4 linked regions of the Saccharomyces cerevisiae S288C genome follow. The protein of the gene in region 4 interacts with the protein of the main gene of each other region in a biochemical or structural test. Each region holds a gene or a part of one and is shown on either strand. Other genes may lie near its edges. The genes, in order: SSM4, ASI1, UBA1 and UBC7.

The links.
Region 1: the proteins of UBC7 (region 4) and SSM4 form a complex in vitro, tested with the Saccharomyces cerevisiae proteins (4 studies listed by BioGRID, with this or other methods).
Region 2: the proteins of UBC7 (region 4) and ASI1 form a complex in vitro, tested with the Saccharomyces cerevisiae proteins (one study listed by BioGRID).
Region 3: of the proteins of UBC7 (region 4) and UBA1, one has a biochemical effect on the other in vitro, tested with the Saccharomyces cerevisiae proteins (3 studies listed by BioGRID).

What each region holds. Positions count from the first base shown.
Region 1 is NC_001141.2:295,550-305,309, reverse strand, and holds SSM4 (E3 ubiquitin-protein ligase SSM4), read left to right. Parts: upstream 1-5,300; coding exon 5,301-9,260; downstream 9,261-9,760. Other genes in the region: cohesin subunit IRR1, read left to right, coding at 1-833; EMC5 (Emc5p), read left to right, coding at 1,206-1,631; EMA17 (Ema17p), read left to right, coding at 4,053-4,481; SUMO protease ULP2, read right to left, coding at 9,573-9,760. UniProt on the Saccharomyces cerevisiae protein: E3 ubiquitin-protein ligase which accepts ubiquitin specifically from endoplasmic reticulum-associated UBC6 and UBC7 E2 ligases, and transfers it to substrates promoting their degradation.
Region 2 is NC_001145.3:502,183-510,097, forward strand, and holds ASI1 (putative ubiquitin-protein ligase ASI1), read left to right. Parts: upstream 1-3,150; coding exon 3,151-5,025; downstream 5,026-7,915. Other genes in the region: protein SHH3, read right to left, coding at 1-552; bifunctional phosphoribosylaminoimidazolecarboxamide formyltransferase/IMP cyclohydrolase ADE17, read right to left, coding at 5,320-7,098; 60S ribosomal protein eL15 RPL15B, read right to left, coding at 7,552-7,915. UniProt on the Saccharomyces cerevisiae protein: E3 ubiquitin-protein ligase which transfers ubiquitin to substrates promoting their degradation.
Region 3 is NC_001143.9:36,147-44,984, forward strand, and holds UBA1 (E1 ubiquitin-activating protein UBA1), read left to right. Parts: upstream 1-3,016; coding exon 3,017-6,091; downstream 6,092-8,838. Other genes in the region: phosphatidylinositol-3-phosphatase SAC1, read left to right, coding at 1-268; TRP3 (bifunctional anthranilate synthase/indole-3-glycerol-phosphate synthase), read right to left, coding at 553-2,007; ATP-binding cassette a-factor transporter STE6, read right to left, coding at 6,277-8,838.
Region 4 is NC_001145.3:317,158-319,677, forward strand, and holds UBC7 (E2 ubiquitin-conjugating protein UBC7), read left to right. Parts: upstream 1-1,522; coding exon 1,523-2,020; downstream 2,021-2,520. Other genes in the region: MAC1 (Mac1p), read right to left, coding at 8-1,261; MSS1 (Mss1p), read right to left, coding at 2,280-2,520.

The sequences.
Region 1 (9,760 bases), on a different chromosome or scaffold from region 4:
TAATAGAGAAAGTAAGGGATTACGAGAATTCTATTTCAAAAGATCTTAGATCAGTTTGGAAACCAATTGCCGCTATAATAGGTCGTCTAAACACACTCGTTATTTCATTGGCGGCTACAAACGAAACATTTGAAAACATAAACAGCTTGTTTTACTTAAAATGGTCAGCTTGCACTTCATTAATGGATATAATCGTTGCAATAAAAATATTTGAGCTCAAATTGCCTGCAGACGCTACAACATGGAGATATAGTATGAGTGAACAATTTCCATTTTACCTTCACGATAATGCTTCCAAAGTGCTTTTGAAAATATTTTTATATTTGGAGAGTCTTTTCGCTAAGCAAGTTGACGTCCAATTAGAAAGGGTAGCAGATGAAGACGCCAACCTAAATGATTTGCCGGAAACCGGGTTTTTCGAGAATATTGAAACTGAATTCCTTTTATTCACAGTTAAATTGAAGGGACTAATGAAACTGAATATTTTAGATGAACGATTTGCTTCCCGTGTGGCACTAAACAAAGAAAAGCTTGGCCCGCTGTTCAAAAAAATCGTAGATGATACCATAATGGAAAATCCAGAACCTAATAAAAAGAACATACAGAAAGCAAAATCAAATCAAACACAGAGGGAAAAAGCGCCTTTACAACCCAACAGTGAACGAGAAACCGACCATGCAAATACTGAAAATAATGATCCAGATATTCCCATGACAATCGATCTAGAACCTATTGAAGAAAGTTCGCAAAATAATTCAGAGTTAGCACCAATTGAGGAACACCCAACCGTGGTAGATGCTATAGACAACAGCGACGAAATCACACAAGATTAAGGGAAAAGATATACGTCAGACTTATTGCTCTTTTGTAAAACAATAAGATCTATAATATATATCACATCTTTCTTTTGAACATACATAGCTTCGTTAGCAGTTTTTGATTAATCATAAATACTTCAAATATCCCTTCGCATTAGACTATACTCGCTGGATGATATTCGGCTATGTATTTTCCAAGCCCATTCAATCGTCATCAAAGCGCCCTTTGCTTCTTCGAAAACTCGCGATGTAAACGCAGCGCAGAAAAATCTACTTTTGAATATAAAATAAAGTCAACTCAGATAGTTGTTATGCATGTTAATTGTAGCATCTAAAAAGCGATCGTAATTAAGCCCTACCGAGATACAAAAAAGCAATTATCAAGAGATGTCGTTTGTTTCCAAGCTTCTCTATACAGTCTCTGCATTGGTGTTATTTCATTCTGGTTTCTCAAGCTATGAGTTTCATCACTTATTAAAACTTAACTCGCTTAATAATGCACAAGGTGCAATCAGCAAGTTACCTAAAGATATCATGTATGAAACGTATGCAGGATTGATACTCTTTGTTCTTGCAGTGTTCACTTCGTTCGAGAAATTACAATATTTACCAATTGAGAGTAACGATGGGAAGATAATATCCCAAGGAAACTATCTAAAAGAAATCGCATTAAATAAAGCCACCAACGTGGATAACTTGATAGGAAGTAACCCTAATGGTGAGATCATATTTACTCCAAGCTTTGTTGACGTTCATATGAAGAGAAAAATTTGCAGGGAATGGGCCTCTAACACTGTAAAAAAAGAAAAATAAATAAGATACTGAAAACTAGAGCTAGAACTTATAATTTCATACATATATACATATCAAGATCTAATAAGAGGATTAGCTAGATTTTGAGCATAAATTCGATAGCGAATCTACTCGAACATCGTAACTGCACAAAATAAGGCGTCAGGTGACCAGGCACCTCTTCTATTTACACCAACACAGACGCCTTTCATAGAGGAATAGAAAGCTATATTAGAATCACCAATAATGCAAGCGTCTCCTGTGTTCTATAACGTGAACCATAAGCTTGAGTGGTTTCAAAAGGATTACGGGGCGGATAGTATCTTTTGCGTCTTCGTTGGATAGTTTGTTATTAAGATACATAAATACACACTAAATTTAGTGGTAAAATCTTCTATTCAATATTATCGAGAGTCTCGGTTTGAGGGCTAACACTCTAATGGATAACCGTTCGGAATATTTCTATTCCAGTTTACATAGTATAAGTACGATATTCATCCTCATGTTAGCGTAAGTGGAACTTGTTCAAATCATCCTGAGGTACAGACAAGCCCTTATTGATGATTCATTCTGTTATTTCAGGAACAGGTAATAGTTCTCCACCACTTGAACGCCCATGCTAGTTGTAAGGTGCCGTATAAAGGCAGTTATGATATCATGTATGCGTTTATTATAAGTATTATCGCCTGCAGAAATAACAAAAGTGACACATATTGGTACAGGTACTAAACCGATGCTAACCGTACTAAAACAATTTACCACCCGGCTCGAGTTTTTTATTCTTCACAAACTTTTTCTGCATTTAATTGTGATGAATAACGAATAACTATTTCCTTGATCACCTCAGTAATCGCGAAACGTGCATTTGTGGTAGCAACAGTTTTAATGACAGTAGCATAGCCTATTGCACCTCCACATGAAGAAGCTACCAGTCCACCGCCAGAAATAGACAAAATGGTAACATCGCTTACATTAATTAGCCCTAATACAAAAGGTTGCCATTTGCTAATTTGTTTTGGTCGTCGAAAACCATTTGTGTCGTCGTTAACCTTTCCATTTATTATTCCAGCAATAAGAGCAAACCCCAATGAGACAGTACAAGCTGTAAGGGGAACATGCCCTATTACCAGCCCAAATGACCAATTGACTAACCAATCACCACACACACCCGCAGCTGTGTTGCGTGCGACGTTACCCAATGTTATGGTAATGGCTTGCTATATACTGACTCGTTCAGGTGAATAGAGAAAACCCGTATCACCGTAAACCCATCAGTGACCGTTTTAATTACCACAGCTGTTGCTAGCGAGTAAAAACCCTTTTCACCACTGGTATATAATATGTTCATCGTAAACAACCAATTGGCAACTATCCGGGAGGTCACGGCTGCGCTGCATACTTTTAAAACAGCTTGACGTGGATTAGACCAATTCACCATACGTTTGGAAAACATACTGGCCATTATCCAAGGTGTAAGTATAACGTCAAAGCTGCAATCAACTGTAGAATCTCTTCCTAACACATTTCTATATAACGCAACCAACATTATCATTGGAAATGGCATACAAACAACGCGTCTGAATAACCTTGCATCGTCCATGTTATTGCCTTTTCTACACCACGCAGCACCTCTTTAATGCAGCAGCCGTCACTATTTGCATTGACGCATGTCTTCATCCTTGAATGCCTGGCGATAGTATAGGTAAATTAGTTAAATACAGCTTTGAGTAATTAGGCATGTACTTCCTCTGATTTAGTGACAGGTTCAATTGTTAAAGTATTCCCATTAGGCCAAGTTAAAAAGCGAAATTTATTTTGTTTTACAGATTTCCATTGAGTTTTTATGCCTAAGGGCGTGTTTTTTCAGCTCGTAAAATCATGAAGTTGTAGCACGCTGGCTCACCATGACAATTCCAATGGTGCGGTTCAATCAATTCACTGAGGTAGAATGGTGGACCATGATATTCAGAAATAGGTAAGTCCTGAGGTAATGATTAGGATTTAACTGTTGACTCTATTATAAGGTATACAGAATATACTGGCATAAAACAAGGATCATTAACACGCTAAACAGGGTGTTGTTTAATATCATGAATGCGCAAATAAGCCCTTTTTGCTGCAGCAAACTTTATGTACCAAGATCTTAAAGGGACTCGTTACCAAGATGCGAGTGAGTAGTCTATTATTAGAGAGTAGATCAGCTTCCGCCGCTTCCTTTTTTAACGGGAAAAAAAGTAGAAGCTGGGACAACTTTTTCGCTGCCAATAATAATTAAAAAGAAGGACCCTTTTTTCATTATAGGTATATTTGTTAAATATTTCCATTCCTAAGACAATCAACAACGCAGTTATGCAAACCATCAAAGAGGGCAAATGAACTATTCCCGCTCTTCGTAAGGATGCTGTATTACCGCCGTTAGCCATCAGAATTACTATAAAAACAATGCGGTTAATTTTCATTGCGAAAATGCTTCAATATTCATTTCTACCATTTTCCCCGTTCAATCTTTTGAATTTTGATAATAGTATAAGCGTAAGCTGGTTTATAACATACTCAGTGATCGTTTCCATTTGGGGGTTTGCTGTGTGGATTGAAGGAGCATATAGGAATAAGATTAATCTACAGCTTCCAAGATGTACGAAGATAAAATGCTCCCGCTACAATACGAGAATAAAATCCCCCAAGTGGTTCAACTGTAAAAATTGGATGCATTTTTTCCTATTATACCTTTTTCTAACCGCTTCTAACTTAATTGTTCAATTGGCCTATTTTTCAAAAGAAATGTGTAGTCAGGGTATAAACGTTCCTGGAACGAAGAAACCAGGTAATAGAGTTTATTTATCGGTTATCATACTAATGGGGAACGGGTGATAGAACTTTTACCAATGAAAAGAAATCAGCAGGCCATAATTTGGCTTTATTAAAATTAATAACATTATGGTGCTGTTGCGTTTATTAAAACAGACTAAAGCTGTTGGAATGAAATTCTAATGTTATCTATTTAGTAGTAATAGCATCACATGCGGTGTAAGAGGATGGCGTAAATTATGAGAAGCTGTCATCGAGGTTAGAGGAAGCTGAAATACAAAAATTGATAATGTAATAGGAGAATGAAACATATAAAACGGAATGAGGAATAATCGTAATATTAGTATATAGAAATATAGATTCCATTATGAGGATTCCTAGATCCTCGAGGAGAACTTCTAGTATATTCCGTATACATAATATTATAAGCCTTTATCAACAATGGAACCCCCAACAATTATCTCAAAATTCACCCATATCTTAATTAGTAACATGAATAGTACTAAACAGATGATATTTTAAAGTTTCATTCCAACAAGCATCTTAAATGTGCTATTACTTCCTAAAATAAGTAGTTTTTCCAACGAAATAGCCTTGTTGGCGCAATCGGTAGCGCGTATGACTCTTAATCATAAGGTTAGGGGTTCGAGCCCCCTACAGGGCTATCTTTTTACCATTTTCAATTCAATAGAAAAATTAAATCATTAGAGACGGAAAACTGGTTGAAAACGCATCGATTGAGGACATTGAAAAGATGATTATGACCGATCTATGAAGCCATAAGATTACGTTAAGAATAGTTCTTTGTTACTGATTTCAAAAACTGTTTTTTTAGCCAAGAGTACCACTAATTGAATCAAAGAGACTAGAAGTGTGAAAGTCATGGATGTTGATTCTGACGTTAATGTCTCCAGGTTAAGAGATGAACTGCATAAGGTGGCAAACGAGGAAACAGATACCGCCACTTTCAATGATGATGCGCCATCCGGCGCCACCTGCCGTATTTGTCGTGGAGAAGCTACTGAGGACAATCCTCTTTTCCATCCTTGTAAATGCAGGGGCTCAATTAAATACATGCATGAATCCTGTCTGTTGGAATGGGTAGCTTCAAAAAATATAGACATTTCAAAACCAGGCGCGGATGTTAAATGTGACATCTGTCACTATCCCATTCAATTCAAAACGATATATGCGGAAAACATGCCCGAAAAGATACCTTTTTCTTTACTACTATCCAAGAGCATCTTGACATTTTTCGAAAAAGCTCGTTTGGCTTTAACGATTGGTTTGGCCGCTGTACTATATATTATCGGTGTTCCTTTGGTATGGAACATGTTTGGAAAATTATACACCATGATGCTAGATGGATCATCCCCTTATCCTGGTGATTTCCTAAAGAGTTTGATTTATGGTTATGATCAGTCAGCAACTCCAGAATTAACCACGAGAGCAATTTTTTACCAACTTTTACAAAACCATTCGTTTACGTCTTTACAATTTATTATGATAGTGATACTACATATAGCATTGTACTTTCAATACGATATGATAGTAAGAGAGGATGTTTTCAGTAAAATGGTTTTCCACAAGATAGGTCCAAGATTATCTCCCAAGGACTTGAAATCACGTTTGAAGGAAAGATTCCCCATGATGGATGATAGAATGGTTGAATATTTAGCGAGGGAAATGAGAGCTCATGACGAAAATCGTCAAGAGCAAGGTCATGATAGACTGAACATGCCAGCCGCAGCAGCAGATAATAATAATAATGTTATTAATCCCAGAAACGATAACGTTCCACCTCAGGATCCTAATGACCATCGGAATTTTGAAAACCTTCGCCACGTAGACGAATTAGATCATGATGAGGCTACGGAAGAGCACGAGAACAACGACTCTGACAATAGTTTACCATCAGGTGATGATTCGTCACGAATTTTACCGGGGTCTTCAAGTGACAACGAAGAAGATGAAGAAGCAGAGGGGCAACAGCAACAGCAGCAACCAGAAGAAGAGGCAGATTACCGTGATCATATAGAGCCCAATCCGATTGACATGTGGGCAAATCGTCGTGCGCAAAATGAATTTGATGACCTAATCGCTGCTCAACAGAACGCAATAAACAGGCCCAACGCTCCGGTTTTCATCCCACCACCTGCCCAAAACAGAGCTGGAAATGTCGATCAAGACGAACAAGACTTTGGCGCAGCTGTTGGTGTGCCACCAGCACAGGCTAACCCAGACGATCAAGGACAAGGCCCTCTAGTGATAAATCTCAAATTGAAATTGTTGAATGTCATTGCTTATTTCATAATTGCCGTAGTTTTCACCGCAATATACCTGGCAATTTCCTATTTGTTTCCAACTTTTATTGGGTTCGGTTTGTTGAAAATTTATTTTGGTATATTTAAGGTTATTTTGCGTGGGTTGTGCCATCTTTACTACTTGTCTGGCGCTCATATAGCTTACAATGGGCTGACGAAACTGGTCCCTAAAGTAGATGTCGCGATGAGTTGGATTTCAGACCACTTAATTCATGACATCATTTATCTTTACAACGGCTACACTGAAAACACCATGAAGCACTCAATTTTCATCAGAGCTTTACCTGCTTTAACGACGTATCTAACCTCAGTCAGTATCGTTTGTGCTTCATCCAATCTTGTCTCGAGGGGTTATGGCCGTGAGAACGGAATGAGCAACCCTACTAGAAGGCTGATTTTCCAGATTTTATTTGCACTCAAATGCACTTTCAAGGTGTTCACTTTATTTTTCATCGAATTGGCTGGATTCCCCATTCTAGCTGGTGTAATGCTAGATTTCTCATTATTTTGCCCAATCCTGGCATCCAATAGTCGGATGCTTTGGGTTCCTTCAATATGCGCAATATGGCCTCCATTTTCCCTTTTCGTATACTGGACGATTGGTACTCTCTACATGTATTGGTTTGCCAAATATATCGGAATGATTAGGAAAAATATCATTAGACCAGGTGTTCTATTCTTTATCAGATCTCCAGAAGATCCTAATATTAAGATCTTGCATGATAGTTTAATTCATCCGATGAGTATTCAATTATCAAGGCTTTGCTTATCCATGTTTATTTATGCGATTTTTATTGTCTTAGGTTTTGGCTTCCATACTAGAATTTTTTTCCCATTCATGCTCAAATCGAACTTATTATCCGTTCCTGAAGCTTATAAACCAACATCAATTATTTCATGGAAGTTCAATACAATTTTGCTAACTTTATATTTTACGAAGAGGATCCTGGAGTCTAGCTCTTACGTTAAACCCTTATTGGAAAGGTATTGGAAAACAATTTTTAAGTTATGTTCAAGAAAATTACGTTTATCATCCTTTATCTTAGGTAAAGATACCCCAACAGAGAGAGGCCATATTGTTTACCGCAATTTGTTTTACAAGTACATTGCTGCCAAGAATGCAGAATGGTCAAACCAAGAACTTTTCACTAAACCAAAGACTCTAGAACAAGCAGAAGAATTGTTTGGGCAAGTTCGTGACGTTCATGCTTATTTTGTCCCCGATGGCGTTTTAATGCGTGTTCCTTCTTCTGATATAGTATCCAGAAATTATGTACAAACAATGTTTGTCCCCGTTACAAAGGATGATAAGCTGTTGAAACCATTAGATTTGGAAAGAATTAAAGAGAGAAACAAACGTGCTGCTGGTGAATTTGGTTATTTAGACGAACAAAACACGGAATATGATCAATATTATATCGTTTACGTCCCTCCAGATTTCCGTTTACGCTATATGACATTGCTTGGCCTGGTTTGGTTATTTGCTTCCATTTTAATGCTTGGTGTTACATTTATTAGTCAAGCTTTAATAAACTTTGTTTGTAGTTTCGGCTTTCTTCCAGTCGTAAAGCTATTGTTAGGTGAAAGAAATAAGGTCTATGTTGCATGGAAGGAACTCTCTGACATTAGCTACTCCTATTTGAACATTTATTATGTCTGTGTCGGATCTGTTTGTTTATCCAAGATTGCTAAGGATATTCTTCATTTTACAGAAGGCCAAAACACTCTCGATGAACATGCCGTTGACGAAAACGAAGTAGAGGAAGTGGAACACGATATACCAGAGAGAGATATCAACAATGCCCCTGTTAATAATATCAATAATGTGGAAGAGGGTCAAGGAATTTTCATGGCCATCTTTAACAGTATATTTGATAGTATGTTGGTGAAGTATAACCTGATGGTGTTTATAGCTATCATGATTGCGGTTATTAGAACTATGGTTTCGTGGGTCGTCTTAACCGATGGTATACTAGCCTGTTACAATTATCTCACCATCAGAGTGTTTGGCAATTCTTCATACACTATTGGTAATTCCAAATGGTTTAAATATGACGAGAGTTTGTTATTCGTCGTTTGGATCATTTCGTCAATGGTCAATTTCGGAACCGGATATAAGTCATTGAAACTATTTTTCAGAAACAGAAATACTAGTAAATTGAACTTCTTGAAAACAATGGCTTTGGAACTGTTTAAACAAGGTTTCCTGCACATGGTAATTTACGTCTTGCCGATTATTATTTTATCCTTAGTATTTTTACGTGATGTTTCTACAAAGCAGATTATCGATATTAGCCATGGATCCAGGAGTTTCACTTTATCGCTTAACGAATCATTCCCAACATGGACAAGGATGCAAGATATTTATTTCGGACTACTGATAGCATTAGAGTCATTTACGTTCTTTTTCCAAGCAACTGTGCTGTTCATTCAATGGTTCAAAAGTACTGTACAGAATGTAAAAGACGAGGTTTACACTAAGGGTAGAGCTTTAGAAAATTTACCAGATGAAAGTTAAAGGCGTTTTCTTCCTTACATTTAAAATGAATGCTAGCATATTTACATATATATATCTACATTAAGTTATATGTTTTTCCACTGTTTTATTTCTTATTGTTAGAATTATAGAAAAAAAATTTTTGTAAAACATTTCATTAGAAAAATTTACCATTCTGAATACGAAAGAACAAAATAAAAAATATGCCTATTTATGTGAGTATGTATATTACTAGTTATTTTATTGCTGTTACTATTATTATGCGAGAATGTTAAAAAAATAAAAATAAAGAGGAAAAGAATAAAAAATATAAAACTATGCGTGCGAGTGCTTTCAAGGGTCTTCATCTTCCAAGAGTATAGGATTATCTCTGCCCTCATCCCAAACAGAATCTTGAGACTGGTTATTTTCATCTCCATAATTAGAGAGAAGTTGTGCATTTGATCCCTTGCTTGTCGCGCTGGTTCTTGGAATACCCCTAGTTGGACTACTAAATGCCACATCATCAATATCAACCAACT
Region 2 (7,915 bases), 190 kb from region 4:
GGCTAAAACGATTGATCCGGTTTTTATAACCCCACGGTTGGTCAATTCGTAGCCCATATCCCAGATGAGATGCCTTATACCGTTACCAAAATGGAATGCAAACAGATATGCTGCAGAGCCTTTGGCCACCCATTGGGACCACTTAGGCATCTTTTCGTGATACCACTTGTTTAGATCCTGAAAAGTCGTATCCATTCCCATTATTGTCGTCACACCCAAAGTAATTGTGAAAGCATAGAATCCAAGAGCCAGTAAAACGCCAGATATACGATGTAAAGAGGAAAGATACCAGCTCATTTCAGGTTCGTAAACAGTTAAATGAGGAGAGATCGGTCTTTTTTTCCTTTGAGATACTAAGAGCTCCTCTTCCTTGTTGCTTGACCAAAGATCAGATTTGGATACGCGGCCATTGTGGAATTCTTTGGAAAAAAGGTCCATTCTGCCATTAGAGATATAATTATGCAAAATAAATGGTGTGCTGATTCTTGGCACGAATACAGATGCTCGGGGAACTCCAAATACAGATGTTACTCTTTGAATGGTTGCTTTCATTATTCTTACGCTTCTGAATATTTCTGAGCTCCACTTATCAGCTATCACAGTCGCATTGAGTGTGATTAATTTTTCGGTATATTGATACTATTTCATTTTTATTTGCCATTATCTAAAATCTTCGTCAATTTTTTTATGAGCAACGTATCCCTAATCCCTTTTTTACAAAAGTCCAAAATAGAAAAAAAACTATTACGGATGCAGTGATCTCTAATTAGGGATACTTTTCCTTGTAATTTGGTTTATCGTACGGTAAGAATGACCGAATGAGTGATGGTTTTGATCCGAACCGTAAAGAAATACTGGTAGAAGTGTTTACTCTGGTTCCTTTCAACGACATGGTATACAACTATATTGCATGAGAACTGGATGCGATGCAAGTACTTCTGGTACAAACATGTAAATACTATTGATTATATTACAGTAATTTTGTCAAAACACAGTGGCACAAAGTCATTTGATAATGTGATAGGATAACGAAACATATAAAGCGGAAGGACAAAAAAAAAGTAGTGATATTATGTAGAAATACCGATTCCATTATGAGGACTCTTATATCTTCGAGAGGAACTTCTATTATATTCTGTATACACAACATTATAGCCTTTGATCAACAATGGAGTTCACAATTATCAAAATATTCGCACAATATTCACGTAGAATAGTGGATGACAGAGTATATAAACAAAGAAAGAAGCACTCAGGATTTTCTATAAATAGTGAAGTTTTCTATGGACGCCAAAAAATCTTAAGGGTATCTTGAGTGTAATCATCATTGGAAGGATTATTATCTTTCACGAGTAAAATACTATTAATAACTAGTAATTTCCGTGAAGTCATTAAAATGAACAAAACGATAAAACGGTTTCTTATTGCTAATGTGCTGATTTTTTGCCAAAAGGTAAAATCTAAAAATATCAATTGCATACCTTCACATTTGGTATATTACCATATAATAGCAAGATGACATAAATCGGTGAGGAGCAGTTACCAAATTCCATGGAAGATGAAAAACAGGGTTGATAATATAATAAACTGTTGGAACGAGAGTAATTAATAGTGACATGAGTTGCTATGGTAACAATCTAATGCTTACATCGTATATTAATGTACAACTCGTATACGTTTAAGTGTGATTGCGCCTATTGCAGAAGGAATGTTAAACGAGAAGCTCAGACAATACTGAAGCTGTGTTAAAGACCTATTAGTTGAACATGTTATGGTAGGTACATATATGAGGAATATGAGTCGTCACATCAATGTATAGTAACTACCGGAATCACTATTATATTGGTCATAATTAATATGACCAATCGGCGTGTGTTTTATATACCTCTCTTATTTAGTATAAGAAGATCAGTACTCACTTCTTCATTAATACTAATTTTTAACCTCTAATTATCAACATAAACAATGGAAGAAAAATAATAATATTACCAAGCAAAATTATTGTCCTTGTGGATTTCGATATTTTCAACAGGTACCTTAGTAGAGCTGAAGTTTTTTCAAATTAAACATTTATGTGGTAGTCATATATATGTGTCATGCGAGTCTTTACATTAAATATATGGTAACCACCAGAGAACTTGTTATATTAGTCACGATTAATAATGTTGGAATAAAAATCCACTACCGTCTATCAACTAGTAGTTATATTATCAATATATTATCATAGACGGTGTTAGATGATGATATAAATTATGAGAAGCTGTCATCAAAGTTAGAAGAAGCTGAAATGCAAAGATTGATAATATGATAGGATAATGAAACATATAAAATAGAAAGAGGGATAATCGTAATATTAGTATGTAAAAATATACATTCCATTTTGAGGATTCCTATGTCCTCGTGGAGAACTTTTAGTATATTCTGTTTACCTAATATTATAATCTTTTATCAACAATGGAATCCCAACAATTATCTCAAAATTCACCTATATCTCAAATAATAAACCGATCGGACTGCGTTCAGTGAACCTCTCTTATATAGTATAGGAAGATCCAAATTTATTATTCGCTGATATGACCTTTTGACCTTTACATATTAACGAGGTGCTTTTACCAATGCATAGACGAGCAGCTTATCCCATAATGAGTTTAAATTCTATTCAACTCATAACAACTTATAGTTGCTATAGTCACACCTTTTCAACAGATAAGTGGTTGTTTGGCCGAGCGGTCTAAGGCGCCTGATTCAAGAAATATCTTGACCGCAGTTAACTGTGGGAATACTCAGGTATCGTAAGATGCAAGAGTTCGAATCTCTTAGCAACCATTATTTTTTTCTCGCGTATTCCTTTGAGGGCGCCCCTTTATGTTGAAATATTGAGAAGCTACGAATCAAACTTTGAAGTCAGTTGAGTAAGCAATATGAAAAACATTGGAAAATACAATAAAACACAATTACGAAAACTATATTGTTTTGAACAGAAAAATAGAAGGAAGTACTAAAATTACTCTTTCACCACACAACAATTTTAACTCAAGAAGATAATCACTGCTTACTTTTATATTTTATAGACAATTTGCACTTTGGGGTATTTTTCTTAATTTTATCTGGGTTTTTTTCTTCTTTTTACAAAGAAACTATGCTAAGAATATGAACTCTTCCACTTCTTCAGAAAATGTGTTCATAAATTCATTTAGCTATTTGAATCAAACATCACAAGCCGTAATCTCAGGTAACTCCACTTTCGCAAATGTTATCAACTTTCCTTATAGACTTGGATTATCCTTTATTGGGGCTGTGAACTTGCAGTACGAGCAAACCGTTAAATCTGAAGAAATTCCCCCAACTCTAAGGTCTGTTTTTGATACAATAGGGTTTTTTTTCAGCCCGTACGCCATATTTTGCTTTGTAATCGCCATTGTCCTGAACCGGTTCGTTGTATTTTACGCCGTCCTTAACAACGGTTCCAGACGTACTTTACCGTTATGGTTGAGTAATGTTTTCCATGTATCAGCAGTAGTTGTATTAGCAATGGTATCCTTAGGTCCGCTGACCTTGGGTAAGGATTTCAAAATATTAGGCGACCCTGCTTTTGCCCAAGAAAAATTTTTACTGAATATATTCTACGCTTTCGCTTACTCTTATTGTGTCGAAACCATATTTACCATCATGCGGAATTCCAGCCCTTTGGAGGGCACTGACTATTCATTGTTTGAACTTTCGATTCAGTTTTATACAATGACTAATAATAATACTAAATTTTTAGATTCTCCTGATTACATTATAGACTGTTCTATGGCTATTTTGAGCAGGATATTGATCCATTTGGTGGAGATTTTCAGGCTTAGAAATTATCGTCTACTTTTTAGTACTATTATGAACCTCTGTCATATTTGTTACTTAGGGATAAGAGTTAAGCAGGGCGGCTGGAAAAGCCTTCCATTTTCGGTGAAATTTAGGCACTTTCCAAAACTGTTTTCAGTGTCTATTATTTGCTTATCATTACTGATTTTTAAATTATCATGCTTAATTAGATGGGATCCATTTGGAAAATCACGTAATTCTTGCGAACTTTTACAGTTTTACCCTCTCAGTAGAAATTGGAAAAAATACTTAAATTACACGGGAGAAGAAGATTTTTCTGCTATGGCCACTAAATTCGCACTATTATTATGCTCAGGAACTGAACTAATGGAAAAGGGTATACGAAGAGAATTTCCTGCTATTAACATCCCGGATAATGTTAATGAGAAATTTTTTATTAGCGGTTATTTAAATGAACTTTCTAAACCGTATAAAGAGAACACTTCCATCAGCTTCCCAAAGAAAAATTCATCAATATTAAAGCAAAGATTTTTTTTAATGTTTCCAAAATCTATAATATGGATCATGAAGAAGCTTGTAGGCCAAGTATTCTTTGGCTTCAGAGATAACAAGGACGAGGACATCCCCGACAACGACCCATCAAAAATGTTAAAGATAACTAAAACGAACTCTCTCAATAATAGTGCCGGCCACAAAGAAGATATTGAACTTGAACTATTGAACACATCAGATGATGAGTATTCTGAAGATTACGAGCCTTCTGAAGTTGAGTCACTGGGGGATTCTGATGAAGAAAACTTGGAAGAAGATTCACTGATTTTCAACGAAACTCGGGATGCCCTACTGGATTTATTTTCTTCCGAAGATAATGAAGTTCATACTGATTATAATTGGATCATGTCAACTAGCCGTATCCTTCAACAAAAATTACTGTCAGATAAAACTTTGACAAGGGCGTCTATCTTAGATACAAAGTTAAGTGAAGTAGATGAGACTTTTGGTACAGAAAGTGATTTTGATCTATCTTGCGCGGTATGCAAAGTCAATGAAAGAAATACAGTATTATGGCCCTGCCGATGTTTTGCCATTTGCGAGGATTGCAGAATTTCTTTGGGTTTACGTGGGTTCAGCACTTGCGTATGTTGTAGGAGTAAAGTTCATGGGTACTGTAAGGTTCATCCTGTTTCAGATAGTAAATAATAGTTTAAGAACTTTTGCATGGTATCTAAAAGAGGTTTTTCGTTTGGGAGCTCTAGCATTAATTACTATAGCTAGAGCTTTCTGTGTTGCACATATAAACATCATAATAATAAATCAAGTTTTTTTTCTTTGGGAAATGTTCGAATTAAAATTGTACTTATAACATATCGTATCATTAGTATATATATAAAAGTGTCAGTGGCGATTATATCATTAGAGGAGGAAAGAATAAACTATACATCGATTTGCCGTCATTTCTGTATTTATGGCATATTGACTCTGAACTCATGCCATCTAATGGTGGAACAAACGGATTGGGTTCTCTACGTAAACCAAATCGAATGAATCGGCAGCTGAAAATACAACCTTGTCCATGACAGAACCAGATGGAGCGGCAATGTATTTGACACCGGATTTAACTGCTCTGTAAACATTGTCTGGGAATGGGAAAAATGCATCCGATGACAAAGAAACGTTGGTTAATTTACTCAACCATTCCTTTCTTTCTTCTGGAGTAAATGGTTTTGGAATCTCCTCGAACTTCGATTGGTATTCAGACAATTCTGGTTCTTCTGTTGGAATTTGGCCGGTTACGAATAAATCGATAGCATTAGATTTTTCTGGTCTCTTGACGCCTTTAGCCCATTTAATCTCCAAAACTCTAGGGTGTTGTCTGAACCACCAATTATCAGCCTTATCACCAGCTAATCTTGTACAATGGATTCTAGATTGTTGACCTGCACCCAATCCGACAACCATACCATTTCTAGCATAACATACGGAATTAGATTGAGTATATTTAATAGCAATGGTGGCAACCGTTAAATCAATTATGGCTTGTTCAGTGAGATTTTTATTTTGAGAAACAATTTCTTTGAAAGTTGATTGATTGATTATGGCATCGTTTCTCTTTTGTTCCAAAGTCACACCGTATACTTGTCTTCTTTCGACAGCTTCTGGAACATAGTTTGGATCAATTTGTAATATGCAGTACTTACCTCCCTTCTTCTTGGATAGAATGGCCAACGCCTCAGGCTCATAACCTGGGGCAATAACACCATCAGAAACTTCTCTAGATATGATCTTAGCTGTTGGAACATCAACTATGTTGGAAAGAGCAATCCAATCACCAAAGGAAGACATTCTATCAGCACCACGGGCCCTAGCATAGGCACATGCCAGGGGAGATAAGTTTTCAATGTCGGCAACAAAATAAACTTGCTTTTCAACATCAGACAATGGGATACCCACAGCGGCACCAGCTGGTGATACATGCTTGAACGATGCTGCTGCTGGTAAATTCAACGAGGCGGATAATTCCTTAACCAGGGGCCAGGAATTTAGAGCATCCAACAAATTAATGTAACCTGGTGAACCACATAGGACTTTGAAAGGTAAACTGTCTTGTTGACTGACGTAAGCTTGAGCCGGCTTTTGGTGTGGATTGGCACCATAACGTAGAGTAATTTGAGCTTGACCTTCAGAGTATTGTTTCCTGAAGAAATCTGAAATTGCAGCATCATAATCGGCAGTGTGTTCGAAAGCCTTTAATGCCAATCTGTTTCTCAAATCTTGAGAGATTTCACCATTACTGGATAATTCACTTAAAAATTCGGAGTAGTCCTTTGGATCAGATAAAATAGTGACTCTAGCATGGTTCTTAGCAGCTGCTCTTAATAGAGTAACACCACCAATATCAATTTCTTCTACTGCTTCTGGAATAGTCACACCCACCTTAGCAACAGTTTCTTTGAATGGGTATAGGTTACAAACGACATAATCGACTTTTTCAATGTGCTGTTCCTTCAAGTCTTTCTCATCGCTATCGATGTCCCTAGCAAGGATACCACCATGAACGGCAGGATGTAAAGTTTTCACTCTACCTCCCAACATTTCTGGGGCATGTGTGATAGCAGAAACGTCTTCGATTGGAAAACCAGCGTCACGAATCATACGAGCAGTACCACCGGAGGCGAGAATACGAACGTTCTTCTCGATGAGGCCTCTGGCTAAATCAAGTAGACCTGTCTTGTCATAGACGGATAGGATTGCGGTTTTTGTGTAATTGGCCATATTTGATGGTGATATGTGCTTTGATGTCCAAGCTAGCAAAACTACTTCAAGGGCTATTAGTTGCTGGTAAGAAAGATTTTAGGTACTACACTAAAGGTTAAAACGAGCGTACATTTATATACATAGATCCGAACGTGATATGCACATCCGAATATTAACAAGTTATGAGAGGAGTCAATTCATTTCTGGGCACATCAGGGTACACACATTGTAGGGTAGGATCTTCTTTATAAATGATAAGTTGACTTCTGCAATGACTTAGTTGGCATGATTAATATTGTTCGTTCCGCTAAGGAAAAAAGAGTCAAAAACTGCAAATTCAAATTGCGTATGCTGCCAAAGAGCGAAGAATAATAAAAAAAAAATAAGTCGAAGAAAAGGAACGATGAAGTAATCAGGTTGAAAAAATGTTCATAGTGCATTATTATTGATCTATATACGGTTCTAACTATTTCATTTTCTATACCTCCATAACGACAGAGTATTTTGTCTTTTCCAGGTCTTTCTTCTGCCGGCCTTGGTGTTGTTGAATTTGTGTCCCTTGTTGATACCCCTGGATTTCTTACCGGTGGCAGTCAAGCCTCTAGCTTCACGATGCTTATGGACGGGATTGCAGATCCAGTTGTACCGAGCATCTCTTCTGATAGCCTTGTGTTGAGGATCAACCAATATAACTTCGAAGTACTTGTAAGTAGAGTCTTGGTTGACCCAGTAGGAGTTCAAGACTCTCAAGTTAGCAGCACGACGGCCAACTCTTTCTTCAGCGGTAGCTCTCAAGGATCTTTGGTATTTCAATTCATTGACACCTTGGTTAGTT
Region 3 (8,838 bases), on a different chromosome or scaffold from region 4:
GACCGTTTTAGGTGCTACGATATTTTTTCCTAAAGATAGATTTACCAGCAGTAAGAATTTGCTGTATTTTGCAGGTGCGTCGATTGTCTTGGCGCTTTCAACCAAATTCATGTTTAAGAACGGTATTCAGTTTGTCAACTGGCCTAAGTTAGTAGACGTTGGGTTCTTGGTCGTTCATCAAACGCATGATAAAGAACAACAATTCAAAGGTTTGAAATATGCACAGAGTCCTAAATTTTCCAAGCCGGATCCTTTAAAAAGAGATTAATGAGTTCTATATGTGATAAAATGATGATTATTGTAAATCCAAAACGTAAAACCGAAAATATGATAAAAACGAGAAAAAAAGTAAGTTAAAAAATAAAAAAATAAAAAAATGAACGCCGGCCCCAGAGGGAAGAACAAGCTATTTATTTTCTTTTTTACTTTATCTTTCATGGTCATATATATATATATATATATATATATATATCTTCTATAGGCTACTATACATGAAGGCGTTCGCCCTTACAACGTTAAGTTTTTTTCCCTATTGTACCGTGTAAGTTTCAATTATTCGCATAATTCATGAATGAACTTCTTCACATCGGTTGATTTCATTAGGGCTTCACCCACTAAAAATCCATGGACACCTTCTTTTTTGTATTTTTCAGCATCGTCCCTGGTGGTAATTCCCGATAGAGCAATTAGAAGAACATCCTTTGGAATAGATTCTACCAAGTTACTGGTGGTATTTAGGTCTACGTTGAATGAATGCAGGTCCCTATTATTGACACCTACAACTTTAGCACCAATTTCTAGAGCCCTTTGTAATTCCTCTTTGGAGTTCACCTCAACGAGAGGTTCCATGTTCAAATCTTTACTGTAGCTGTACAGTTCCTTCAATAAGGGTTGAGATAGCATCTTGACTATAAGAAGGACAGTGTCAGCTCCAGCTAATCTTGCTTCTAGTATTTGATACTTGCTGAAAATAAATTCTTTTCTCAAAACACAAGGCCTCTCCTTGGGAGGAAATTTCAAATCTAGGATTTTCCTCACATTTACTAAATCCTGTAACGAACCGTGAAACCAATGAGGTTCGGTCAATACGGAAATTGCGGATGCACCAGCCTCTGCGTATTTGAGAGCCTGTTCAGCAGCAACAGCTTTTAAACAAATGGGTCCCTTCGATGGAGAGGCACGCTTGACTTCAGCAAGAACAACGGCTCTTTTATGGGATGATGACAACACCGTGTAGAAATCCTGTAACGGTGGGGCAAGACCTAAATCATAGTTAGATTGTAAGTCTTGAAAGGTGAAACCTGGGATTTTAGACTGCTCATTGACGTCTATTTTACGCCGAGCATAGATACGGTCCAAAATAGAATTTGAAGGAGATGATTTGTTTTCCTCCCAAGTGCCTCCACTGACGTTTAAAATGTTCCTGATCATCAGATGACCTTCCTCGGTCAAGATGGATTCCGGATGAAATTGCACACCTTCTACAGTGTACTTCTTGTGTCTTACACCCATGATAATTCCATTTTCGGTACTCGCAGTAACCTTCAAGCAGGATGGTAGGGACGATTCTGTCCCGGCCAATGAATGGTATCTTGTCACAGCAATACCTTGCGGCACGTTCTTGAAAATTCCACAGTTGTCGTGAGAGATTGGGGACGTTTTACCGTGGACAATCTCACCAGCGTAGGCAACTTCACCACCAAATACGTCAAACATGCATTGCTGGCCCATACAGATTCCAAATACAGGAATTTTCCCAGTAAAGTACCGGATACAGTCTCTTGAAATGCCAGAATCTGTCTTTGGGTGGCCTGGTCCAGGCGAGATAAGCAATGTGTCGGGATTCAAGGCGGCAATTTCTGGAACTGTAATTGCATCGTTACGGTAGACGCTCACTTTGGCGCCCTCCTGGCACAAGTACTCGTAAACGTTCCAGGTAAAGGAATCGTAGTTGTCAATTAGAACCACATGCTTATTGATTGGGTTTGTTGCAGCGTGCACAGACATTTTTTTCTTACTTTTATGGCGTTCTATGTAGAACCAAACAGATTTGGTAATGTGTTAATACTGACCAGCTCCTTGTCGAACTTTTTGCGTACCTTAATATCTGCTATAGATTAGAATGAGTCAACGAGCCATTGATGATCATTCAATGATTACTACAAGAGGCATTTTCCGTCGTCAGTGATATGAATAGCACGGTGAGGTCCAGAAGAGATAGTAGGAAGTTTAATACTGGCTCAAAGGCATACTTATATCGACAAGCTAAGCGCAAATACTACTTTGTGGTACATCATCAGCATTGCTTTCGAGAAAACAGCATTTAAAATCAGCCATTTGCTGCGCTTTCTTTAAGCCCTAACAGAAAATAGTTCAAAAAGGCCTATAAGAAGCAAAAAAAGTGAAAAATACGAAAAAATACTCCAGCGGAGGAGTATAAAAGGGAGGAAAATACAAAATGTAGTTGTGTTGTTACGCATCTCAAAGAAGAAAGAAGAAGAAGAAGAAGAGGACGTCGCACTTGCAAGCAAAAACAGCGACTGGCGCGAGAACAACAAACACTAATGCATGTCTCTGTCCAGCAGGAAAAGCGAGCCTTAGTGTTTCTTATTTTCTCGTTCGCCTCACTAGTTTGTAGTAGGGTGGGAGAAACGATGGAGTGGATTGTATGATGAGGAACCAGATAGGGACAACAGATTCTCAAGTGACGAGGAACATCTTTTAAAGCCCAGTTTTTAGTAGAGCTTAGGGCGCCTTTACTGACTATCCACTCCTTGTTAAGCTATGATCTTGTATTCATGTGATTGTAAATAATATTAGAGCTCTTTCTTGAATTGCCATTACGCTTCCATGCGGCATATTCTCGTGTAGTGTGACAAAAGGTGCGGGTGGCAAATAAAGGTAAAAGAAAATGATCAAAAAGGGCCTTTAAGTAGGATGAGCAACCGCCAATCGCTGGATATAAGCAAACAAAAAGTAAGATTAGTAGCAAAGCAAAGAACATATAACTATAGCTATGAGCAGCAATAATAGTGGTCTCTCTGCCGCCGGAGAAATCGATGAAAGTCTTTATTCTCGTCAACTTTATGTGTTGGGTAAGGAAGCAATGTTGAAAATGCAAACCTCCAACGTATTAATTCTCGGCTTGAAGGGGCTAGGTGTTGAGATAGCGAAGAACGTTGTGTTGGCAGGTGTCAAATCTATGACCGTTTTTGACCCTGAGCCGGTTCAATTGGCAGACTTATCAACCCAATTCTTTTTGACCGAAAAGGATATTGGTCAAAAGAGAGGAGATGTGACCAGAGCCAAATTGGCAGAGTTGAACGCATATGTCCCGGTTAATGTGCTGGATTCCTTAGACGATGTTACCCAATTGAGTCAATTCCAGGTCGTTGTCGCTACGGACACTGTTTCTTTGGAAGATAAGGTGAAAATCAACGAATTTTGCCATTCCTCCGGTATTAGATTCATTTCCTCGGAGACAAGAGGGCTGTTTGGTAACACCTTCGTAGACCTAGGTGACGAGTTCACAGTGTTGGACCCAACGGGTGAAGAACCTCGCACTGGTATGGTTTCAGACATCGAGCCCGATGGAACAGTGACCATGCTAGATGATAACAGACACGGGTTGGAAGACGGAAATTTTGTCAGGTTCTCCGAAGTAGAAGGTCTTGATAAGTTGAATGATGGGACCCTTTTTAAAGTTGAGGTTTTGGGGCCCTTTGCATTCAGAATTGGTTCAGTCAAAGAATATGGCGAGTATAAGAAGGGCGGTATCTTCACCGAAGTCAAAGTACCCCGTAAAATCTCATTCAAGTCTTTGAAACAACAACTGTCCAATCCTGAGTTTGTTTTTTCGGATTTTGCTAAATTTGACAGAGCTGCTCAATTGCATTTGGGATTTCAGGCTTTACATCAGTTTGCCGTTAGACATAATGGTGAACTGCCAAGAACAATGAATGACGAAGACGCCAATGAATTAATCAAGTTGGTCACCGATTTGTCCGTTCAGCAACCGGAGGTTCTGGGTGAAGGTGTAGATGTTAATGAAGATTTAATCAAAGAGCTTTCCTATCAGGCAAGAGGTGACATACCGGGTGTCGTAGCATTTTTCGGTGGCCTTGTGGCACAAGAAGTGTTAAAAGCATGTTCTGGTAAATTTACTCCGCTAAAGCAATTTATGTACTTTGATTCCTTGGAATCATTGCCAGATCCTAAAAACTTCCCAAGAAATGAGAAGACTACTCAGCCAGTAAACTCTCGTTACGATAATCAAATCGCGGTTTTCGGTTTGGATTTTCAGAAAAAGATTGCCAATTCAAAGGTCTTTCTTGTCGGATCTGGTGCCATTGGTTGTGAGATGTTGAAAAATTGGGCACTTTTGGGGCTTGGTTCTGGCTCCGACGGTTACATCGTTGTTACGGATAACGATTCGATCGAAAAGTCCAACTTAAACCGTCAGTTCTTGTTTAGACCAAAGGATGTCGGAAAGAACAAATCTGAAGTAGCGGCAGAGGCCGTTTGTGCTATGAACCCCGATTTGAAGGGCAAGATAAATGCTAAAATTGATAAAGTGGGGCCAGAAACTGAGGAAATATTTAATGACTCCTTTTGGGAAAGCCTGGATTTTGTCACCAACGCTCTAGACAATGTCGACGCAAGAACATACGTAGATCGCCGTTGTGTGTTTTATAGAAAACCACTGTTAGAATCTGGTACCCTAGGTACTAAAGGTAATACTCAAGTCATCATTCCAAGATTGACTGAATCATACTCTTCTTCTAGAGACCCACCAGAAAAGTCTATCCCATTGTGTACCCTACGTTCTTTCCCAAACAAGATTGATCACACCATTGCCTGGGCCAAATCTCTTTTCCAAGGTTACTTCACTGATTCCGCCGAAAACGTTAATATGTACTTGACACAACCGAATTTCGTTGAGCAAACACTAAAGCAAAGCGGGGATGTCAAGGGAGTTCTAGAATCCATCTCAGATTCTCTATCTAGTAAACCACACAATTTTGAAGATTGTATCAAATGGGCAAGGTTAGAATTTGAAAAAAAATTCAACCATGATATCAAGCAGTTACTGTTCAACTTCCCCAAGGATGCCAAGACTTCCAACGGTGAACCATTTTGGTCCGGTGCTAAGCGTGCTCCAACACCATTAGAGTTTGATATTTACAATAACGATCACTTCCATTTTGTCGTAGCAGGTGCTAGTTTACGCGCTTATAATTATGGTATTAAAAGTGATGACTCTAATTCTAAACCCAACGTGGACGAGTATAAGTCCGTCATCGATCATATGATAATTCCAGAATTTACTCCAAATGCCAATTTGAAAATTCAAGTTAATGACGATGATCCGGATCCAAATGCCAACGCGGCTAATGGCTCAGATGAAATTGATCAGCTGGTATCATCCCTACCAGATCCTTCTACTTTGGCTGGCTTTAAACTGGAGCCTGTAGATTTCGAGAAAGACGATGACACTAATCATCATATTGAATTTATAACGGCTTGTTCTAACTGTAGAGCTCAAAACTACTTCATCGAAACTGCTGATCGCCAAAAGACCAAATTCATAGCTGGCCGTATTATTCCTGCCATCGCAACAACCACTTCTTTGGTTACTGGTTTGGTCAATTTGGAATTATATAAACTGATTGACAACAAGACAGATATTGAGCAATATAAGAATGGCTTTGTTAATTTAGCTTTGCCATTTTTCGGTTTTTCGGAACCAATTGCTTCACCAAAGGGAGAATATAACAACAAGAAATATGATAAAATTTGGGATAGATTTGATATCAAGGGAGATATTAAATTAAGTGATTTAATTGAACATTTTGAAAAAGATGAAGGGTTAGAAATAACAATGCTTTCTTATGGCGTTTCTCTTCTTTATGCCTCATTTTTCCCTCCAAAGAAATTGAAAGAAAGACTAAATCTACCAATAACTCAATTGGTTAAATTAGTGACTAAGAAAGATATTCCGGCACATGTATCTACAATGATTCTCGAAATTTGCGCAGATGACAAGGAAGGAGAGGATGTTGAAGTTCCTTTCATTACCATTCATCTATGAGTAACTAATTAACCAAAATAAAAAAATAAATTAAATATATACATTAAATATGTATATATATATGTATGACTTTTGACAACTTTTTCTTTGGTAAAAACTTATTATTATTATTATTATTATTATTATTAATGTAGTCTCGAATATTTGAGTATGTTTTAGTTTTTTGTTTTATATTTTCTTTGGGTTTAACTGCTTTGGTTGGAAACAATTTGGAATAATTCCCCGCGATTATTATATAAAGTGTCGAAGTTACCTCGCTCAACCACTTTACCATCTTTAAGAACTGCAATCGAGTTACAAGACCTCATCATTTGTTCACTATGCGTTATAACCATTGTTAGTAGAGCAGGTGGACCTTTTTTGACGATCTCATTGATGATAGAGGAGCTGACAGAATCCAAGGCTGAAGTACACTCATCTAAAATCAGAATTTTTGATTTTCTCAGAAGTGCTCTGGCTATGCAAAGCCTTTGCGCTTGTCCACCTGACAGTAAAGTTGTATCAATACGTGTATCCAAGCCCTGAGGTGATGAAATTACAAAGTCATGGATTCCTACGTATTTTAATGCATCATACATTTCAATTTCAAGTATTTCATCTTGTAAACCATAAGTTAGGTTATCTCTGATGGTTCCATTGAATAATAAAGGTTTTTGCTCAACCACTGAAATTTCTTTTCTTAAACTTGTCAAATTCCAGTCATTTACGTCCGTACCGTCTATTTTAATTTTGCCTACTTCACAATTATAAAGTTTTGTTAATAAAAGCACAAGTGTAGACTTTCCTGTGCCTGATTCACCAATGATACCTAACGTCTGTCCGCAAAACATGTCAAAATTCATGTTTTTGTAAACAAAGGCGGTAGGTGCAGATGGATAGGCAAATGTCAAATTTTGAATTGAAACGATTGGTTTTTTTTCTTTGCCATGGTAGGTGTGACCAGCTATTCCCACTGTTCTAGCATTATTGTTTTCAACCTCTAGGGTATTATGCTTTTCATCAAGAATCCTATAGATCCAACTGGCAGCACGTTGGCCTCTACTTATATCGGGTATCTGACTTACTAGGCTAGTGCATGACATAATAGTGAATAATAACAAAGTGAAAGTCGTAAACATTTCCTTTGAGGTGTACTCGTGAATCATAACCAGCTTTAGGCCATAGTAGTAAATAATAGCTTGGATACACATGACAATCATGTTTGTCATAGATATACCAAATCCTGTGGCAATGGCGCGTTTGGAGGCAATTTGTTGCATTTTTATCTTCAAGTCATGGTAGGTCAATTGAAAATGAAATTCAGCTTGTAAGCACTTAATGGTTTTAATGTTAGTGACAATCTGGTACAGGCAGTTTTCTAACTGAGCAACAGATGTCTTATAATCTGTTTCGCATTTTTGTAAAATGCCTCCATATATTGCTGAAAATATAATTATGAGTGGAAACATCGAAATACAAACCAAACTTAACTTCCAGCCCGATACTAACGCCCAAATTAGTCCAATCGTTGATACGGTAACGAAACTAGTCATTGCACTCAAAAATTCAGAGACCAAAGACCTCAAATCTCGCAAATCATTCAAGACTAGAGCAGAAATTTCAGAAGCCTTGTTGTTTTCACCAGAAAACCAGTCCATATTCTTTCTCGTCAGTTTTTCCATAACTTCATTTCTAAGATCCATAACCCAGTATTCACTGCAGCAATCTAATAGGAATCCTTTAGCAAAATTGAAAATACCATCTGCCGCAGCCACACCAAGAACAAGAAGCGACCATTTCGCCAAATAATGTGAAGAGCCAGTTTTTCCATCCGTGGATGGGACAATTCCTTCTAGTAAGAAACTGAATGTGTATGAAAAGACGGGATTTGTGGCGCCTGCGATAAGAGAACATAGCAGTCCCAAGATTAGAATTTTTTTGTATCTTATGCTTTTAATCATTCTTTTGATAATCTGAATAATGCTCAGAAGTTGTGGCCCTGTTGAACTTTCGGTGTTCTTTTGTTGTTTTAGTGCATACCCAATATTTTCCTCTTCAACTTTAACCCTTCTTGTTCTAACGTTCGATCTTTTTTGATAGATTGCTTCGTAAAAGGACAACTGATCTGTCTCATCATATCCCAGATTACTTAAGCATGATCCAAGTTTTGGTGTTTCCAATTGAGAGTTAAAACTTTCCACAGTGTGTATAGATTTTTCTTCAGTCTCTGTATCTACAATAGTTTTCGCATCAGAGTAGTCATTCTGTAGGTGATACCATGTGCTAAATGTAGTGGTCGGATCGGCTAGAAGTTCAGACTGGGTGCCGCTTTCAACAACTTCACCTTCCTTCATTAAATATAAATAGTCATCAGATTCAATTTGGCTCAACTCATGCGTCAATATGATTGTAGTCTTTCCTTTCCTCCAATGCCTAATTGCCTTCATCAACAGGTTGCGATGAACAATATCTAGAGCCGATACAGCTTCGTCTAAGAATAATATTGGAGTATCTCTGATGAATGCACGTGCTATAGCAACTCTTTGTTGTTGCCCGCCACTTAGTGTGACACCCCCAGTCCCAATTAATGTTTCCAGTCCATCGGGAAGGTCTAGAATAAATCTATCCAGAAGAGCCATTTGACAGGCATCTTTGATTAAATGTCTATTTTCATTGGTGCTGCAATCGGCATTTCTTACCGAATCTGTTGAACCTAAAAGAATATTTTTTCTAAGAGTATCATTAAATAGGGTACAACGCTGTTCTAC
Region 4 (2,520 bases):
CGTGATTTTATGAAGTGGTGGCATCGCTTAGATGTGGTGCATAATTAGAGACTAATTTTTGAAACCACGCATGAATGTCAAGTAATTCTAACTGAGCATCTGTCATCAATGGCACTTGCAACTTCAAAAAATCCCACCAATATTTTGACGGCACCAATTTACCTTTGAATTTTATTTGAGTTTTCCTTGTTAATCTTGCATTCAGAATTCCATAGAAAAAGAATTTTTCAAATGGAATTATATTTGTAGAGTGAGAAAAACATCCATCACAAGTGCAGTTATCCGGAGGACATATGCATTCCTTGTCAGTGCATTTACAATCATCCAAATAATCCATCATCTTATCAGTAATTTGAGCTTCACCAATATTGGTTAAAGGAACACCACTTTGTTGAATATAAGAATTCAGTTCCTCTTCGCTTCTATGGATTAGACAATTAACACATGGGCAGCTTTCATCTTCACAAGAGCACTGCGTGCTTAAAAAAATGCCCTTATGAGTCAGGACTTCAACTTTCGAAGCAACGTCGCTTGAATGAGGAGCAGCAATCGTTGTTGTACTTTGTGGGGTGAGTGTTTCTGAACTGTCATGCGCACCAGGAACAGAACTATTGTAGTTTTCTTGTAAAATATCGTTAAAAGCGGACGTAGATTCCAAGGAGCCGTATGGCGTAAATATGTCATCAGACGGTGCCTTGTTCGTCTTGCCATTAGAAGCTGGGTTCTGTGATTTATCTTTCTTACAGCAGTTTGAAAAATGTCGTATAGGCTCCTGTTGAAGCCGGCTTCGCTCTTTCTTCTCACTTGAAGAAGATGACTTGGTAGAGTCCGGAGATATTGTTCCTGTTGCCGGAGCTTTGGGAGAGTGTTTCCTAAGAAACTCCGTTTCGGTGATATATTTGTTACCATCATCGGTAAATGTGCTAATATCTTTAGGCTCATGAGCAGTGAAACCTTCCTCCATTAATATATGCAATTTTCCGTTTATCATTCTTGCCTTTCTAACAGCAGAGGCACGTACAAACAGTATTGGCTGTTGATTCATTGCGCTGCAGCAGTCACCTTCAATTTGTGCACCATTTTCGTATTCTGTACTTTGCGATGTAGAGTCTACTAAAATAGCGTCTCTGATAGCCATGGGTGAAGGTCTTCCTCTAGTTCTCACCTTAATTAGCATTCGGTGAGAATGCCTGCATGTTGAAGAGCGATGCCCTCTGATGCACGATGCACACGCATATTTGTTCCCATTAAATATTATCATCTCTGATAGAGCTTGAAGAACTTACCAGACTGTTTCAAGTTTAAAACAAGGCGCCTCATCGCATCTACCTCACGAAGATGCAGCAGCTTATTGTCTCGAGATCCTTCTTATAACTCCTTTTCGCCATTACCCGAAAACGAGATTACAGCCTCTAAACCAAGAGCTCGAAAAGCGCCAAAGTAAACTCTGGCGTTTAGCGTACGAAGGAGATTATCCTAAAAGGAACTTCCCTAGTAATAGTGTAATTTGGAAGGGCATAGCATGTCGAAAACCGCTCAGAAACGTCTCCTCAAGGAGCTTCAACAGTTAATTAAAGATTCTCCACCTGGTATAGTGGCTGGTCCCAAATCGGAGAATAACATATTCATTTGGGACTGCCTAATTCAAGGGCCTCCAGATACGCCATACGCTGATGGTGTTTTTAATGCTAAGCTAGAGTTTCCTAAAGACTATCCGTTATCTCCACCTAAACTTACTTTCACACCCAGCATACTACATCCAAATATTTATCCAAATGGGGAAGTGTGCATATCCATTCTACACTCCCCTGGTGATGATCCTAACATGTACGAATTAGCGGAAGAAAGATGGTCGCCAGTGCAAAGTGTAGAAAAAATTCTATTAAGTGTTATGAGCATGTTGAGTGAGCCCAATATCGAAAGTGGTGCCAACATTGATGCTTGCATCTTGTGGAGAGATAATAGACCTGAATTTGAGAGACAGGTAAAGTTATCCATTTTGAAATCATTAGGATTCTGAAAGCAGGTAGCAGGTTAATGATCATTTGGTCTTCCTTTTAACTGTTCTCTATATACATAAATAAGCATATCTACCATCTAAAAGAAAGCAAATGTCACATAATAAATATGTTAAAATCTCAATGTCTTCCTGGCTTTTCAGGAATTCAAACCATTTCCATTTCGTTGGTGTATAATCAGGGGCCCCTCTACTCTCACCTCTCTGTACCGAAGCGTTAATCAATTTTCTTTTATTTATATACACGATGATTGTAACTAGGTTATTTTCCTATACAAAATTTGCTGAACACTGAATCTAAGATTTCCTCAATACCAATAGCTTGTCCTGTTATCTTAGCTATTCCATCGGATGCATACCTCAAATTTTCTGTGGCCAATACTATATCATTATGGAAATCTTTGGATTTGAAAAACTCTTCCAAGCCGTACAGTACGTCGTTTTTGAGAATCTCTGACACTCTTTTGGAAACAATGACAGGACTTGCATCGGCACTTGATTGA